2 linked regions of the Canis lupus familiaris genome follow. The protein of the gene in region 1 interacts with the protein of each later gene in a pairwise test. Links are inferred from orthologs where the notes say so. Each region holds a gene or a part of one and is shown on either strand. Other genes may lie near its edges. The genes, in order: AQP1 and RGS17.

Region 1 (8,728 bases):
GAGCTGGTGGTGACTGCAAGGTCTTGGCCAGACTGCTATCAGAGGGCCCTTCCGCCTCAAACTCCATCTTCCTGGTGGGCCTCCCGGAGGGAATGAAGTCATTGTTTCCCACGACCTGGCCTGTGGGTGGGAAATCCCTGCCCTGCCCGTAGGGAGGGTCCATCCCCCTCGGCCCCTCTGTCTTGTGCCCCACAGAAGCTTCTGGCGAAGAGACTGGTGGCTGCGGCCACGCCCGTGGGTGTCTTCTCCCCACACAGCCCGAGGTCCCACTCCTTAGCGTGCATCTGGGGATCTGTGCACCCATCTCTGGACAAAGCCTGAGGTTCTCCCACTGGATCCTGGCGGGGCTAGAGCCCAGACTGTCCTGGGAACAACCAGCTCCGACTGGAAAGTGGGTCTCGCCGGGCTCGTCGGGAATAAGGCACATCTGGAAAAACGCTTTCCGAGACGGCTGCTCCAGGAGGGCCAGACAGTGCCCGGCCCGAGCGGCTTCGGGCCCCGCCCTGGGCTCGGAGCTGGGGGGTGGGTGGGGGCGGGCCCCTCTTATTTAGCCTGGCTCAGGCCCGCGGATCTGGTGGCTGGGCCCAGGCCGCTGCCCGTGGGAGGGACACGGAGCTCACCAGAGTCCGGCCGCAGCGGAGGAGGAGCTGGGAGGAGGTCGCACCCTGCCTCAGAGCCCAAGCTTCTCTGTGTGTCCCCTCAGTCCGTGCTTCCTTCCCCACCCACCCCTCACCGCACCTCATTACACAGAAAAGCTGCAGAGGGTCCTCCCACTTCTCCCCCCATATCCCCTGCCCATCCTGGGGCCTGGGTGCCTCAGTCCTGAACTTGTTACCGGGTTTCCAACTGGTACCTGGGACCATCAGGGGCCTTTCCTGACAGCCAGAGAACCAGCCTGGGGTTCTGGGAATTAGGGGGTACTGAGTTCTAATCGCAGCTCTGCTGTTCTTTGGCAAATCATTTACCATCGGAGCATCCCAGGGGTGTGGTGACGATGAGCCCTCACCAGAGGCTCTTTCCTTCCACCCTCCCTCCTTCCTTCTCTCTCTCTTCATTCCTCCTTCTCTCTCTCCCTTCCTTCCCTACTTGGGCAGGATTTGTGGCGTCCAGGGAGAGGAAGGTCATGGGCTCTGCGGCCTTCCTGGGGCGGGGGCTCCAGCGGCAGGCCTTCTCCCTTCCACACTGAAATCAGCAGGTCGGGGCTACACAGGCCCCCTTGCTTTGTGGGAGATGGTGGGTGAGTAGGTGGGCATTACTGCGGAGACCTCTGCATTCTGCTGATGGCAATGCCTTTGCCTGAGGGAACGGAACTCTACTGGTGTGTGGCATTCGAGGCAGAGGCCCAGCCGGCATGGGGGGTTGGCAGGAGATACTGTGGTTTTCTGGGGTGTTGTCCTGAGGACCCTCACGTCATCCTGAGATTGGCAGGTGCCTAATCTGCCCTGGCAAAAGCACTTTTGTCCCCCTGATCCTGCCCTGCTCCAGAAGGAGGTGGACCTCTGGCAAGTACACACTCATGCACACGTGCCCTGCACGGTGACAAGCTCCACTGCCCAGAGCGGGGGCACAGGGCCTGCAGGCTCATGCTAGACTGTAAACTTCAGGAGGCCAAGAAGCTGGGCTCGCTGGCATGTGGCCGTCTCCCCAGTGCTGAGAACAGGATGGCACAGGACACATGCTAAGTAAATATTTGGTGAATAAATTAGTACACCCCACGTGACTCTCATCCTCATGCATAGTGGCACATCAAGCATCCTCAGCTACGTGGGCCCTGACCTGGCCTGTGGACCCTGTCGCTGAAGCCGTAGCATGCCCAGGCTCCTGTTGCCTCTGAGATGCCGTACCCCCCACGCTGGCCTGAGTCCCCTGGCCCTTGTGGGTCTAGTGCCCGGCCTCGGCCTGCTGCCTCCAAGCTGAGTCCTCAACTCATCCCCCACCAGCTGGAGGGCGGGGACAGACGTGGGCCCCATCAGGGCCAGGAAGCTCAGCGGACAGGATCCTGGACACTCTGAATGCCCAGGGCCAGGGCGTGAAGGAGGCTCCTGGGGCGTGGACAGCGCAACAAGTGCTGCCCAGAAGAAAGGAAGTGGAGGAGGTTCTGGGAAGTGGCCCCGTCTGGCTGGGTCCCTCTCTTGGATGGTTAATAAGGCACACATGACCTCTGGCCGCTGGGGCTTTCGGAGCACGCAGGGCTCACCGGCCACTGTACGGACTCCCTGCCTCGCATCCACTCCATCCTGTACTTACAGGCACTCAAGTGTACTTAGGTGGCCACAGCTACGCCACCTCCACCCCCGGTGGGCCTCCTGCTCCCAGCGAATCCCAGGCTGATCCCTGGTGGCTGCGGTGTGCACTGCAGGGTGTGCACTGCGGGTGGGCTCGGGAGGGAGCCGTAAGGGCCACAGGCTCATCCTGGCCCCGCCCCGGGCGCGTGCAGAATTCAGGGATGTCCTTCCCCGGCTGGGCCTCGATCTGCCAGCTGTAAAATGGGGAGACGCCAACACAGCCGTGGGGGACCGGGGAGGCGGGCGGGAGGTGGGAGGAGAGGCCCAGAGAGGGCCGCTCCCTCCCGGGCCTGGCCTCGCCCCCTCCCGGCCCCGCCTGGCTGCTCTTGCCCTCGCTGCACACCGACTGGGCAGGCGGCCGGCAGGAGCCCCCTGCCTGGGGGAGTCCGGGCGCCTGCACAGCTTACCGGCTGCTGTCGGGCCTCTGGCTGGCGGCGTGCAGGGCAGGGGCTGGGGGCAGGGGTCTGCGGGCCGGCCTCTTCCCCACCCACCCCACCTTTCCCCTCTTGCTTCGTGCCTCTGCTGGTTCCAGTGGCGTCTCCTCTGTCAGGTTTGTCTCTTCCCCGTCTCTGCTCCCTGGCTGTCTCTCCTCCTCAGCCTGGCCTGAGATCTCGCTCGTCTCACTTGCCCTTTGACTCTGTCTCTCTGCCTCTCCCTTTGTCTTGTGTCCTCTCTCCTTCTCTCGTCTCTGCCTCCGTCTCCAGGCTACCTGGCCATTCCTTCCCTCGCCCCCTGGGGTCTGCCAGCATGCAGCCCTGGAGAGGAAAATCCTGAACTGCCTCTGTTTTCTCCACCTGCCCTGCTATCGTTGGTTCTAATTGCTTCTGGAGCAATGAGGGCTCCCAGAGTGGCTACTTGCCTATCTCGGGCCTGCCCTTGACCACAGAGTGCGGGGTGGGCCACCGACAAGCTCTCCGTGCCTCCTAATGCCTCTGTGTCCCCATCAACTGGGCCTGGCCAGTGGTGCTGGGCCCCTGGGGCATCCCTAAGGTGACATCTTGTAGCCAGGCCTGGGCCAGGGTGTGGGAGACCCAGAATGCCCCTGGGGACCCCTGGACCCGTGCTGTCCAGAATAACGCCACTCCGGGATGGGATGGGATGCCGGGCGAGCAGGATCATGGTGCCCCACTTCTCGGGAAGGCAAAGTCCACCTGCGGAGTCCAACCCACCCACCCTGCACCATCCAGAGCTTCTGGCTCTGCCCATGGACACCCCTGAGCTCCGCACATAGGGCGGGGACACCTGGATTTCTCTGGCCCCCTGAGTGGGGCCAACTTGGAGGAATTTCCCAAAGCCTATTAGAGCAGTGGCTGCCTCCCGCCTGCCTCCTCGGGCTGGGCAGGGCTGAGGGCGGAGGGAGAGAGGGAGGGAGGGGGGAGAGGAGGGAGGGAAAAAAGTTGGCAGGCCGACAGCAGAGCTGTGTCTGCATCCATCGCTGAGAGGAGGCCCGTGAAGTGCGGGGCGGGCCAGGAGCAAGGAGAGGCCTTCCTCCCTTTGTGCTCCCCCCCCTCCTCTCCTCCCCCCGGGCCCTATAAATAGGCCCAGCCCGGGCTGTGGCTCAGCTCTCGGAGGGAGTCGAGCACCAGGCAGCGGTCTCAAGCCAAGCCCCCTGCCAGCATGGCCAGCGAGTTCAAGAAGAAGCTCTTCTGGAGGGCGGTGGTGGCCGAGTTCCTGGCCATGATCCTCTTCGTCTTCATCAGCATCGGTTCTGCCCTGGGCTTCAACTACCCGGTGAGGAACAACCAGACAGCAGGTGCGGCCCAGGATAACGTGAAGGTGTCACTGGCCTTCGGGCTGAGCATTGCCACCCTGGCCCAGAGCGTGGGCCACATTAGTGGCGCCCACCTCAACCCAGCTGTCACGCTGGGGCTGCTGCTCAGTTGCCAGATCAGCATCCTCAGGGCTGTCATGTACATCATCGCCCAGTGCGTGGGGGCCATCGTGGCCACCGCCATCCTCTCGGGCATCACCTCCTCCCTTCCGGACAACTCCCTCGGCCGAAACGAGGTACGTGGGGTGGCCCCAGGTGCTGGGCTCTGGAGCAGAGCACACGCGGCATAGGTCTCATCCTCACCCATTGTGCAGATGGGGACACCGAGGAGCAGAGAGGGCACGAGCTGGCTGGAGGTCATGAGGACTTGGGGCTGGAACTCAGCTACACCTGCAGCCCAGAGCCCGTTTCCTACCAGGCACCGTGGGAAGCCGAGACCCAGAGAATAATAGTCTGGCCAGTGTCCCCTGCAGGCGTCTATCGTGGGGAATCAGCTCTGGAGGCAGCTACCAATTGTGGGGACAGCAGCTCCTCACCCCTCGGCTGTAGCTTCTAGGTCTCCACTCTGCCCGGCCGGGGCAGCCAGCTCCCTCTTCCTACAGCCTGGACCCTGGGGACACGCTGCCCGCTGTCCCCAGCCCCCCGAAGCTGGGTGCCTGGCACATTGGCGCGGGTCAGCAGCTGCATGAGCAGGACCCATGGGTGGCCACACGGACCCTCAGCCCGCCCCATATTCACACAGGTCCCCAAACAAACTGCCTTCAGGGAAAAAGCCCCTCCTGCTCCTTGGTCCCCGAGAGTTAGATGAAGCTGCGGGGCAGCGGGGGTGCGGTGGGGGCAGGTGAAAACATTCTGGCTGGTTTGCAGGTGGTTTTCCTGGATTACAGTAGGGGTGGTGGCCAGGGTGGGGACATCTCGCCTCCCGTCTGGGCTCCACTCTCTGTCGCCGGGCACCGTGAGGTGTGGCACGTGTGTTTGTGTGTGTGAACGGTGTGTGCACGTGGATGCTGGCATGGGTCTCCGGGCTTGTGTAAGCTGTGCGCTCCCGTGGGTCTGCGAGTGTTAGTGCAGCCGTGTGAGTGGGCGGCGGGGGCGGGGGGCGGTGAGTGTGTACCTGTGCATGCCCATTGCCCCTGGCCCCAATGGGGTCTGGGCCGGGGGCACTAATGGTGAGCAGATGTTGGTGAGTGGGTGGCAGGCTGCTGCAAAGAATTCCTCCCGGGCCGCTTAGCACAGCTAATTGGCCGTTGGCGGCAGTTGCCTGCTGTCGCAGACCTGGGCTTTTCCAGACCCTCGGCCAAGTGCAAACTCAGACCCAGCCCGGGGCCACCGCGGCGGGGGGAGGCTTGGCCTGAGAGAGGCTGAGGAAGGCTCGGAGGGTGCCTTCCCGGGACAGGGGAGTGGCGCACGAGCACACGGGAGGAACCAGATCTGCAGAATCGGGGCTCGGGGCCTGGGCAGGGCAGGCGGGGGCAGGGACCGGGAGGGAGCCAGCCCAGGGCCCCAGAGACCGCGGCCCGGGATTACAGCGATTGTTGTCCCGCTTCCCAGCCAAAGTTCAGATCCTGGCGCTGCAGCTGCGGGGAGGCTTGGTAAGGCCTGGTGCAGAGGGCAGCTGGCGAGGCCTTGGCTCGGGCTGGGGGGGATTAGCACTTCTTGTGTCACAGTGACACCTTACCCGGCCCCCTCGCGGAGCCAACCGCTGCTCGGCCCAAGATTGAAGATTAGCCCGCGGGCTGGAGTTTAGACTTTAGTCGAAGAACGTGGTGGCCGAGGTGGGTGGAAGGGACGAGAGCTCCGGCAGGCTCTCCAGAGGGCAGGGCCAGGTGACTCCGGGGAGTGACCCCCGGGTGGGGTCAGGTTCAGCCGTGGCCGGCTCGGTGGGCAGGGCGGGCGGTGGCGAAAAGGTGCCCGTTGGGGAGGGGTTGAATGTCCGCAGGCCCCTGCCCTGTCTTGACCCTCCTTCTCCAGGGACAGGCAGGACAGGCATCTGTGGGCAGACGTCGCGTTCTGACTCGGGCATCACGGGTAGGTGCCGGGAGGGTGGCCGCCTACCGTGGCATCTTCGTCTGGCCGCAGCCTGCTCCAGTGTCCCTTCCCTGCCCCGGCCTCCGTTTTGCAGAGTCGCCCAGATGCCTGGCTGGGCCGTTGGCAGCTGGGGGAGATAAAGGGACAGGCTCCTGCCGGGGACAAGCACGCCGGGCTCACGTCCTGTCTGCTGCTAACCTGTTGCGTTTTCCTGGAGCTGAGGATCCTGAGACTCCAAGAAGGAACCTAGGTCTTTATAGATATTTCCTGGCCCCTCCTAAACCACCAGCAAGCTCACTCTGGGGACTTGTGTTTATCACCCTTCCCAGGAGGGTCTGGCTAAGAGGAGCCCACGGGGGGCCTCGCTGACCATAAGATTCCTGAGTGTTGTGGTGGGGTGCAGGCACTGTCCTGTCTACACCAGGGAGGTTTGGGGTTCCAAAGTCTGGGCCTAGAAACAGAAAGCATCTCTCCCAGGGCTCCTGTCAGACGCTGGACCTGCGATGTGAAGGCATCTGAAGTTCCTGGCAGGTGGCCCTGATGCCTCAAGAGAGGCAGAGACCGGTCTCTGCAGCAAGTGACACACTTTTTCCCCCAGGCTCAGAGGGAGGCTCCCACAGCCCCTTGGGCCCTGGGCCCCACCCTGGCCCAAATCTAGGTGGAGACCTTTGTTGGCATGGAGATTCCTCAGAAAAATAGGGAAAGAGGAGGCAGGAAGCGGTTGGGGTGAGTCAGGGGGTGTCCCCCGGGGGCATGGTGGGGACAACTTTCTTCTCACTGAGTCAGGGCTTAGGATACGCCCTGGAGAGATCACGGGCCTCTGTCCAGCCTGGAGGATCCCGGGTGGTTCTAAGAGCCAAACCTCGATTTTGACCCAAAGTGAAGAGTGTCGGAGGCAGGGGTCGGTGGCCCCGTCTGACCCTGCCCTAGCCAGAGGCTGACGCGCTTCATGCCAGCAGCCTAGCCTGTGTGGCCCAGTCCATGTGTGAAACAGGGACCGCAGGGCGTGGCTGGGCGCTGGGAAACGAAAGACGCTCATAGCCAGCTCTCTTATTCTTCTCCTGACTCCCTCACCCATGCTCCCTGTTAACCAGACTGGGGCCGCTGGGGGCCCCCCAGGGGCTGAGTCAACCAACCAGCTCCCTACCCCTGGACCGACCAAGGCCCCTGGCGGGGAAGATAAGCCCCACGCACAGCTGCCCGCGATATGGGGCAGGAGGCAGTTGTGATAAGAGGTGTCAGGGCGGAAGAGAACGTCTGCTTTTGAGCAATGGGGAGGGCCAGGAAGGCTTCAGGGAGGAGGTGCCACAGGAGCCTGAATGGCCCAGGAAAGGGGCTTCCAGGCGGAGAAAGGGTGTGAGCACAGGCAAGGTGGCAATGGGAGGTCAGGGTGGCCGATGGGTGGGGGAACCCGTGGGAGGCTGCGGCTCTGGAGAGTGGAGGGCTGGGGTTCGGGCCAGGGTCTCCCTGTGTCCTAGAGGGGACTGGATGCCTGGCGGTCCCCCAGCCGGTGATTTCAGCACCACCCCGGCAGGGGGGTGTTGCGGGCTCAGGCCTTCTCTCTTCGGGGTCTTCTCTCAGCCCTGCTGATTCTGGGCCTGAGCCTGGGGACCGCTTCTCTCTGCTACATCGGGGCCTGACCTCAGCCCTAAACTCTCCCCTTCCTCAGTTTCCTGAGGCTCGGTTTCCCCAACCACAGGGTGGGCGGGTCGTCCCTTCCCTGTTGGCCCCTGTCGCCTACATGGGCCCCGAGTTCTTCCAGGGTTGAGGGCCCCCCGCTCCCCGACCTCTGCAGCCTCCTCCAGGGCTGGGGTGGCTTAGGGAAAGGAAAGCCAGTTTTCAGATGGACGTGCCCGGAGAGGGGGCTGGGGGCTGGGTGGTGTGCCATAGCCGGGACCTATAATTACTGTTTCCAGCCAGAACCAGATGAGGGGGAGGGCGTAGAGAGGCAGGAGCTTTGTGGTGGAGACTTCCCTCACCACGGAAAATTCTGAGGCAGTTTCCCCTGTGAGGGCCCTTGGAGCAGCCTCGCCAGCCCTATGCGGCCCACCCCAGAGCTCGGCCCTAACCAGGGCTCAATCTGGCAGCCCCTGCTCTGAAAGCGCAATGCCCTGCGAGGGGACGTGCCCCGCTGGAGCGCTCAGTCTGCGGGGACTCGCCTCCCCGCCCCGGCCCCCAGGGCACAGCCTCCTGCTCACACTGCTCAGTGCGGACGACTCCATGGAGCACCCCCACCCAACCTGAGCTCAGCCCGAGTGCTCCCCACTTTCTCTGGGGCCCCACCCAGTGGGGGTTCCTTCAGCATTAGCCACCAGGGCTTCCCCCAGGCGGGTCAAACTTGCCTCATGCCCACACTGTGGGGACTGGCTCAGGGAAGCTTTCCCGAAGAGCCCCCTGTTTTTGCTGGCGGTGCCTCCCTGGGGGCCGTGGTCCCTGCCCTCTGGAAGCACCAGTGGGTCTGGGGTCTCCTGAATGGCCAGGTCTGAGTCAACACGCTTGCAGGTGTGGGGAGGAAAATGTCATGGCCATTGTCCCCCACCAGCCAGGGCTCCTCCCCGGAATGGTGTTGGGGGACGCTCCTTGCCCCACACTGGTGCTTAGGGGGATAAGCAAGGGACTGTCTTCATATAACCAAGGAGCTGCA
Region 2 (8,281 bases), on another chromosome or scaffold:
GAAAAAAATTTTTTAAAGATTTTATTTATTTATGAGAGACACACAGAGAGAGGCAGAGACATAGGCAGAGGGAGAGACAGGCTCCCCACAGGGAGCCTGATGTGGGACTCAGTCCTGGGATTGGGGATCACACCCTGAGCCAAAGACAGATGCTCAACGGCTGAGCCACCCAGGTGCCCTGAAAAATTTTTTGACTATATCCCTTACATGATGAACATAGAATGTTTTTAATACATATTTTATTCTCCAATTTAGAAAAATTAGTGCTTGAAGACATAATTTTTGAAGCATGAGCTCACAATACCAAAATAATCAAAGTACATTATGGTTTTAATAAGTATTGCTGTCAGTTACACATGACATTGTATGTATGTGATTTACATACATGGCATATTTATGAAAAACATCATGTAGTAGAATTCATTTCTTTTTCTATTAAGTCATGCTATATTTGATATTCTTTTACTCAAATAAAGCTTTATTTTTTTATCCTCAACAAAGTCCTAGGTCAGGATGGGTCAGGTAAAATAGGTGACAACTCATTTGGCCACCTTTGTAAGGTCACAGGTATCAGCACATCCTGTACCTCAATATTTTTCTCATTTGCCATGATATGTATATCCCACCAAAGTAATTTCCCTGGATTTGGTGACTTTTTATCTTTCCACATTTCCCTACTGAATGAAAACAGATCTGAGGTGGTGGAGGGAAGGGAGGTGTTGTCTTTGCGACTGGGACATGTAACAGAGAAAAAGGCACTTTGCCAATATATGATCAGGCTCCAGCCCCTGGAGGGAAAAGTCAAACATACCAAGAAGAAGATGCAGTGCCTTGAAAGAAGCTAAGAGAACACCAAAACACACTTGATCTTCCTCACAATGTTACATAGTTAGAAACTTTGCAACCTGCTTTGTAAAACTCAGTGAACCTGACTGTAAACACCAGTGGAGAAACAAGTTATGTACCCCTGCTACAGTCATTTAAAAGTGTTCACCAAGGAAAGTGGATGAAATCATTCTTGAGTAAAGAAAGAAGTTAAACATAAATCTTCCAACCTTGTCTTATTTACCTTACCAACTGATTTTGATTATGTGGCAATGTTGGGGGGGGGTTTGTTTTTTGTTTTTTTTTAAGATTTAATTATTTATTCATAACAGACACACAGAGAGAGGCAGAGGCAGAAGGAGAAGCAGGCTCCCCGTGGGGAGCCCGATGGGGCACTGGATCCCAGGACCCAGGGATCACTACCTGAACCAAAGGCAGGTGCTCAACTGCTGAGCTACCCAGGGTAGCTACCCACGGCTACCCGTGCCGTTCCTGCACGGCAACGTTGTTATGATAATTTTACGTAGCAGATAGTGGTGGAAGTTTGTCCCTGAAGTTTGTAAGATAGTCTCCTAAAATTTTTAAAGATTTTATTTATTTATTTGACAGAGAGAGAGAGCGAGCGTGCGCGCGAGAGCGAGCAACAGAGCATACAAGCTGGGGGAGTGGCAGGCGGGGGGGGGGGGGCGGTGAAGCAGGCTCCCTGCTTAGCAGGGATGAGGGCTAGATCCCTGGGTCCTGGGATCATGACCTGAGCTGAAGGAGATACTCAACCAACTGAGCCACCCATCACCCCATAAAAAAAAAATTTTTTTGAGAATTTTTAATTTGACTGCTAAAGTTATTTGTTTTTTTTTTCTTTCTCTTAATTTATCTCCCATCCCAATTAAATTACGTTCCCTTCAGCCTAAGCAATGTATCTTTCTTTTAGTTTTTTCATACCTTTTGTTTTCTCTCTTCTTTCAGCCAGTTGGGTACGAAAGTAGCTGAAATGCGAAAAAGACAGCAGTCACAAAATGAAGGAACACCTGCTGTGTCCCAAGCGCCTGGAAACCAGAGGCCCAACAACACGTGTTGCTTCTGCTGGTGCTGTTGCTGCAGCTGCTCCTGGTATGTGGCACTCTCTGTAGGATAGCACCCCTGAGCTAGCTGGGGGCTGACTACAGTGAATTTGCATGTTCATTCTTGGGATCTCCTTTTCCTCCTTCACAAGTAGGAATTATTGGAGACCATCATTGGAAATAGAATATTTCCCCAGAAACTACATTTAAATTGAGAGTAAGGTAAACAATGAAAACTTATTTGATATCCTGTTTTTCTCTATCCACACATCTTAAAGAGATGGTAAAAATAAGATTATGGTTATATACTTATTTAAACATACACAATATTCTCCAGGGTTCCAGAAGGTACAGGGACATTAAGATAATATCTAGCAGTACTGTACATCGCATTCAATGTTGTGTTTTAGTTATATGCTGTTTCACAGGATATTGATCATTCAGTTACAGAGCCACAAAACTGTGAGTCAGGGTGGCACTCTCAGCCACAGACACCTGAAAAAGGACAGAGAAAGAAGTACCACAGACCCATATCCACAAATCTAAAAGGCCAGGGCTATGATGGGCATAAAGTCAGTCAACTAGTTTCTGAACTTACAGCTGGCAAACATGCTTTCCTTTGTGATTTTATCACTGACACGTTCTGTAACATCATACACAGTTTTAAACTCTGCTATTTGGTTTCCTCATTGGCAAAATGATGAAGTTAGACAAGCTGATTCCCAAGGTCCTGTGTAGTACTAAATGTCCATGATGCAGGCACCTCAGAAAACCTGCTCCAGTTCCAAATTCCCCAAGTGCCTTCCAGTAAGAAAATCAATGACTCACAGTCCTAAGATTTATATGGATGAGATTCTCCAGAGGGATGCAGGACTTAATGAAAATTTTCCGTAGAACCATAAGTTTTGGGATCCTTTAAGATCCAATTCACAGGGACACCTCTGGGCCTCCTGGGCCTGGGTGGCTCAGTGGTTGAGCATCTGCTTTTGGCACAGGCGGTGACCCCGGGGTCCTGGGATCGAGTCCTACATTGAGCTCCCCGCAGGGAGCCTGCTTCTCCCTCTGCCTGTGTCTCTGCTTCTCTCTCTGTGTCTCTCATGAATAAATAAATAAAATGGTTTAAAAAAAAATCCAATTCACAAGTGGATCTTCTGAATTAGTTAGTGGTCTTCTGGATCTCCCTGACTTATGTCAAAACTCTGAAGAAAGGCCCAAAGGCTTGAATCATCTTCTTGTATATGATCTCTACAGTTATTGGTATTATTTGGTGGCATAATATTCTATCACTGTGGCCAAAATAGATGAAACGTGCTACGCTTTAGTGGTAGTGTTGGTGTTGAACAAGCTCTATCCCTTCTAGGAACCTTCATTTCCAAAAAACCATCAGACATTTTAGTAACTTGGAAGGTTTAGTTTTTATAAATATCAAAACTGCTTCCCAGATGATGATTCTTTGTTAAGGAAAGTCATAAGTGACTCCTTTTCTTTCATTTTTAAGCCTTCACTATTTCAGGTGGAGGAAATAGAGTTTTAGAAGAAGGAAATATTTCAATAAAATTGTGAATATTTTTTCCTTTATCACTCCTAAAGAGATCATTTAACTTTGGTCTGAATCCATGAAGTAAAGCGTAATGCCTTAATATGGTGGTTTGGAAGTCAGACTGCCTGACTCATGCTCGCTATCTGTTTGACTTTCAACAGGTTATTTTAATGTCCTCAAATTCCTCATATATCAAATTACAGTCATAAGAATCCCTACTTCATCAGGTTGTTGTACATTAAATGAAATAAAACACAGGCTGAAAACAGTGCCTGACACATTGTATGCATCTAAGAGATAGCTCACTGGGGGCACCTGGGTGACACAGTCAGTTAAGCGTCCTACTCTTGGTTTTGGTTCAGGTCATGATCTCAGGGTCATGAGATTGAGCCCTGCATCAGGCTCTGCACTCAGTATGGAGTCTGCTTGGGATTCTCTCTCCCTCTGTACCTTCCCACCTCTGCCTTCGTGCTCTCTCTCTTTCTTTCGCTCTCATTCTCTCTCTTGCATTAATTAGCTCACTGGATAGAACACTTCATATTGGAGAAAATAAAATCTCCTTAAAGAGGAGCTCGCTTGAAATAATGTATATGTATTTTTTAAAGATCTACTTATGAATATAATATAAAAACTAATCTTCAAAAGGAAAGCTAGTTTATTTTAGATTCTATAAGAGACATCCCAAATATATTGTTACATAGTGTTGGAGATTATGTTTCTATTTCTCATTTGTACTATGGCTATGTTCCAGGAATCAGTATATGATTTTATTTACCTGCCAAAATTTATTTCTGAATTGCTTCAGGATTATAACATCAAAACAGATAAGGAGTATGGAAGTTGTGTTGCGCTATATTCATTTGCTTGTCAAACACCTATTTGGCGACATTTCCTTTTTTTTCCCTCTCCTGCATATATTTAGTGAGACTTGCTTTTATTAATCTTAAAGAACACACTAACAAAACATTCAGTATGAGCTCATGAGCATGAGATTGTCACAGAAAACGGACTATGGATGGAAAACAAAACAGCTTTTGGAAGCTGCATGAACTCTCCACACCTCTGAGTTGATGCCTATTTGAGCTTAAAACATTTGGTGCACTGGATGAGGGCTCTGAGTTCTAGACTTAAGTGTCCTTGTCGAGAACTGTGTTTTTTAGCAATGAGTCATGGGTGCCTGAGTCTAAGCCATAAAGCACACAGTCTATAAATGTATAAACTCTTCCATATATGATAAATCAGAGGTAATTTCTAATGTAAACAACTTGAAAAAAATGAGAATAAAATCGTCTTGAACTATGGATTCTAATTGTGACAGTGTTATCTCATTGCAAATGAGAATCTCCTTAATAAATGCATTTTGAAAATATCATTTTTCTATTTTGGGTTTAAGAAAAAATATTTAAAGCCTTATTAGAGTGGGAAAACAAAAGAAATAAATGTTCTTCAAATTTTCCAGGCTAGGTCAGAGGAGCAGAATAGAAAGAAACACTAAAAAATGTTAAACTTAGGGACCAAAATAAAGTTAGAAATCAAAATAGGAAGTAACTATCATTTGTAAAAAGGAGCAGTTGTCACGTAGCTGATTTCTCCTCCTTTTAAGGAAATAAAATGCTAGGAAAGTAAATTTCTATATCGAGTAATAAATACAAAACCTCACCCTGGCCTTCAATGTTATGGATCTTTTCAACATCATAGTGTTTCCCTCAAATTTGCATTTATCTTTCATAGTTCAGCATCAGCTCCTCTCCCATATTTAAACTTAACTGTGTCGTAATAAAATGACCACTGTGCTTTTGGGGGTGGGGGATGATATAGAGATTAAGTACAAAACTGCTGAATATTTCCACGGTTTCCTTCCAAAGTCTAAAAAGCTGAGACTTAATCTGTAATGACTTGTTAAGCCAATCTGTTCTCTGTTCCTTTCAAGGAAACACTTCTGTCTTCAGATCAGTCTACTTCTCTTTTCTCCCCACAGCCTTACATTTCAAGGGGAGAAAACAAGGGAATGTGGTTTAGAGCATGTTAGTTGTTGTAACATGAATGAATCACGGAGGTCTGAGTTTTGGCCACAATATAAACCCTGTATAAACTTACAAGTCCTTCTATATGTGGGACTATGCTTAGTACTGACCAGAAGGAAAGAGGATTTTGTCAAGACCACTTGTCTAAAAGTTCAAGGCTGCCACTATGAAAACTTAATATTCCTTTTATGTCTGGATTCATACAGAGGTAATTAACCCTCTTCCCTTTTCTTGATGAGAAAGAAGTCTTTGAAAGTTGTGGGCTCTCCACCAAACTGCCATCTCTAGGACAGTAGAGGGCAGTGAGGCCCCTGCCACACAATGCACTGTAGATGGCACACTGTGTGCCATCTCAAAGTAGAAACTGCTGTGGGCTCCTGAAAGCAAAGTGCCTCAAGAAGGAAATGGAAAGTAGAGCCTTCAAAATTTATGTCTATTTCCAAATTGTCCCATGAGCTCTCTCCTAACATCAGAGGTTATGTTAAAATGTTTTTCAAAGAAATCTTTAGGTGCTAATCCATCCCTTTTTTGATTTCTTGTTTTCCTGGTTGTGTCCTATCAAGCAAGACAGATTTCCATGGTCAACCATGAAAAATCAGAACTCAAGAGACATCAGCTCTCATCTCTCCAGAATGGTCCTATTGACTTCTTATGCCGTGTGGTGGAGGTGAGGGGATGACTCCAGGGGGGTCTGGGGCTGGGATCTGCAGCCCTGGGCTCTCTGCTTCTAGTTTCCAAAGGAATGGCTCTGTCTAGCTATTTTACATATTAGACTTAGGTATAAGCTTTTTTTTTTTTTTTTTTAAAGATTATTTGAGAGAGAGGGTAGGGGAAGAGCAGAGGGAGAGGGAGAGACTGTCTTAAGCAGACTCCACATGGAGCCCAACACGGGGCTGGATCTCACGACCCTGAGATCACTACCTGAGCCAAACCCAAAAGTTGGACACTTAACCGACTGCACTACTCAGGCACGCCATGCTTTTGGCTGGAAGAAAAAATGGCCTTGTTAGAAAATGATGTCTGGAAAATGCTGTGTCTGATGTTCCAAATAAGGAAACTGAAGCTTGCCTACCTTCAAGAAGCTCATTAGTGACAGAAGTGAAACTAAAATGCAAGTCTCTTAATATCCAGTCCATTGTTCTGTCCACTTGAAGATGACACTTCCAAACTTTTCATTTCCAGGTTTGATATGAACCATTTCCAAAGCTTCTTAGTTTTCAGATTGAATTAATAGTCTCATACACCACTGTTAACAAGATTTGGCCCACTGCATTGGATATTCTTCATTCTCCTCAGGAGAAGTTGTCCCACCACAACTGAAATTAGCCCTGTGGAAAGCTAAAATTCATTCTCTCCCTTTTAGATACATGACTTCGCAGAATTCCTAGACCATGGGATAGATCTAAGTAAACATTAAACACTTCATAAACATGCTTTTGGCTGCCCCTCCCTCTATTCTTAACAAGTACCCCAGTTTCTGAATTCAAAACAGGGCAAAAATCATGTCCTATTTTATCCTCTGATGCTGTCACATTTTAGCTGTGTGCCATGAAAATAATACAATACATGCTTCAAAAGCCAAAGATTATTTTTCAAAAGAAAAAACAAAATACGCATCTGCTCCATGGTGAGGAAACCATCCCCTGGAAATAAATCTGCTAACACATGCAAGGTGAATCATTTCATCTGAGGCTACAGTGATAAACACTGTACCTGTCCTACTCAGAGACCTGATTCATCTCACATGGGAGCGTAAGTTATGTGCCTTAGGCTGCCGAAGTACTCCATCATCATAAGTATCACTTACAAACAGTTCTACAGTTTTGAAACTCATCTCACCATGGCATAGGTGAATTTCCTCAAAAGTTTCTGTGACTTGCATAAACCTAAAACTCGCACAATCAAAAGCCATCTACTAAAACAAACCCTAGTTTCCCACACCATATCCACAAAATCAAAAAGTGGACATTAGGACCATGGACCTTCTTTACAATTTATTGAATTTATTGAATGCCTACTATTGCCTGATATAGTTGTACTTCATTGGCTTTCACTATATTTTCCCTGCCTCTACATAGACAGAGAATAAATTCTCAATAAGCCGTTGAATCCAGAGCGGTCACCCTCTAGAAAGCTTGGTATTCAAACTGTCTCTGCCAAGTCTGTGTTATGTATGACCAGAGTGCTATCTATTGGAAACTGCAAGAATTAGAATGCCTTGATCCTTTTCCATTGAAGGCATGCCATTGATACTCTTTTTGACTCTGTGTTTACTGTGAAGGTTTTTGAGTATCACGTGGCAGTGTTTAGATCATCAATGGAAAGATGTATGTGTATAAAACAGAATAATGTATGAAAATGTTATGCCCAGTCTCATTTAGAAAAATAGAAAGAGTGAGCCAGAGAAGGGCTGGAAAAAGAAAATTAAATTAATTCAAGTCAGAAGGAGGCAAGGGGCAGCTTAGAAGGAAAGGTAGCTCACAGCCAGCTGGTTTGGTGAGGAAACCATGAAAGTGTCCTGCTGGCTGCTGGGGATACCGAGGGTATGATTCCCCTGAGTGGAGAGTCAGAAAGAGAGTCTGGTATGAGGAACCTGGTAAGGAATCACAAAGCTATAAGAGGATATGGAGAAGAAGAAAAGGGGAAAGTCAGATGCCCTAAGCCTCACAGAATGTGGAAGAGGAATGCCAGCCCCCACCTTGCCCTGAGGGGATTGTGGGAGGAGCTGCCTGAGAGAGGCACTGCCAACAGAGAGCTGGGTGCCAGGTAGGGGCCAGAGCAGGAACATGGGCTACAGAAGGCTGAGAACACAGAAGCATGTTTGACGTGGA

What was found.
Region 2: the proteins of AQP1 (region 1) and RGS17 interact in binary tests that used the Homo sapiens proteins (3 or more experiments, as listed by UniProt). The two-hybrid records come from large-scale screens. The link is inferred for Canis lupus familiaris from reciprocal best matches to the Homo sapiens genes AQP1 and RGS17.

The regions. Positions count from the first base shown.
Region 1 is NC_049235.1:43,682,437-43,691,164, forward strand, and holds the start of AQP1 (aquaporin-1), read left to right. Parts: upstream 1-3,871; 5' UTR 3,872-3,902; coding exon 3,903-4,292; intron 4,293-5,665; exon of another isoform or gene 5,666-6,084; intron 6,085-6,178; exon of another isoform or gene 6,179-8,728. UniProt on the Homo sapiens protein: Forms a water channel that facilitates the transport of water across cell membranes, playing a crucial role in water homeostasis in various tissues.
Region 2 is NC_049222.1:43,599,030-43,607,310, reverse strand, and holds part of RGS17 (regulator of G-protein signaling 17), read left to right. Parts: intron 1-1,791; 5' UTR 1,792-1,816; coding exon of another isoform or gene 1,817-1,841; coding exon 1,842-1,935; intron 1,936-6,013; exon of another isoform or gene 6,014-6,017; coding exon 6,018-6,117; intron 6,118-8,281. UniProt on the Homo sapiens protein: Regulates G protein-coupled receptor signaling cascades, including signaling via muscarinic acetylcholine receptor CHRM2 and dopamine receptor DRD2.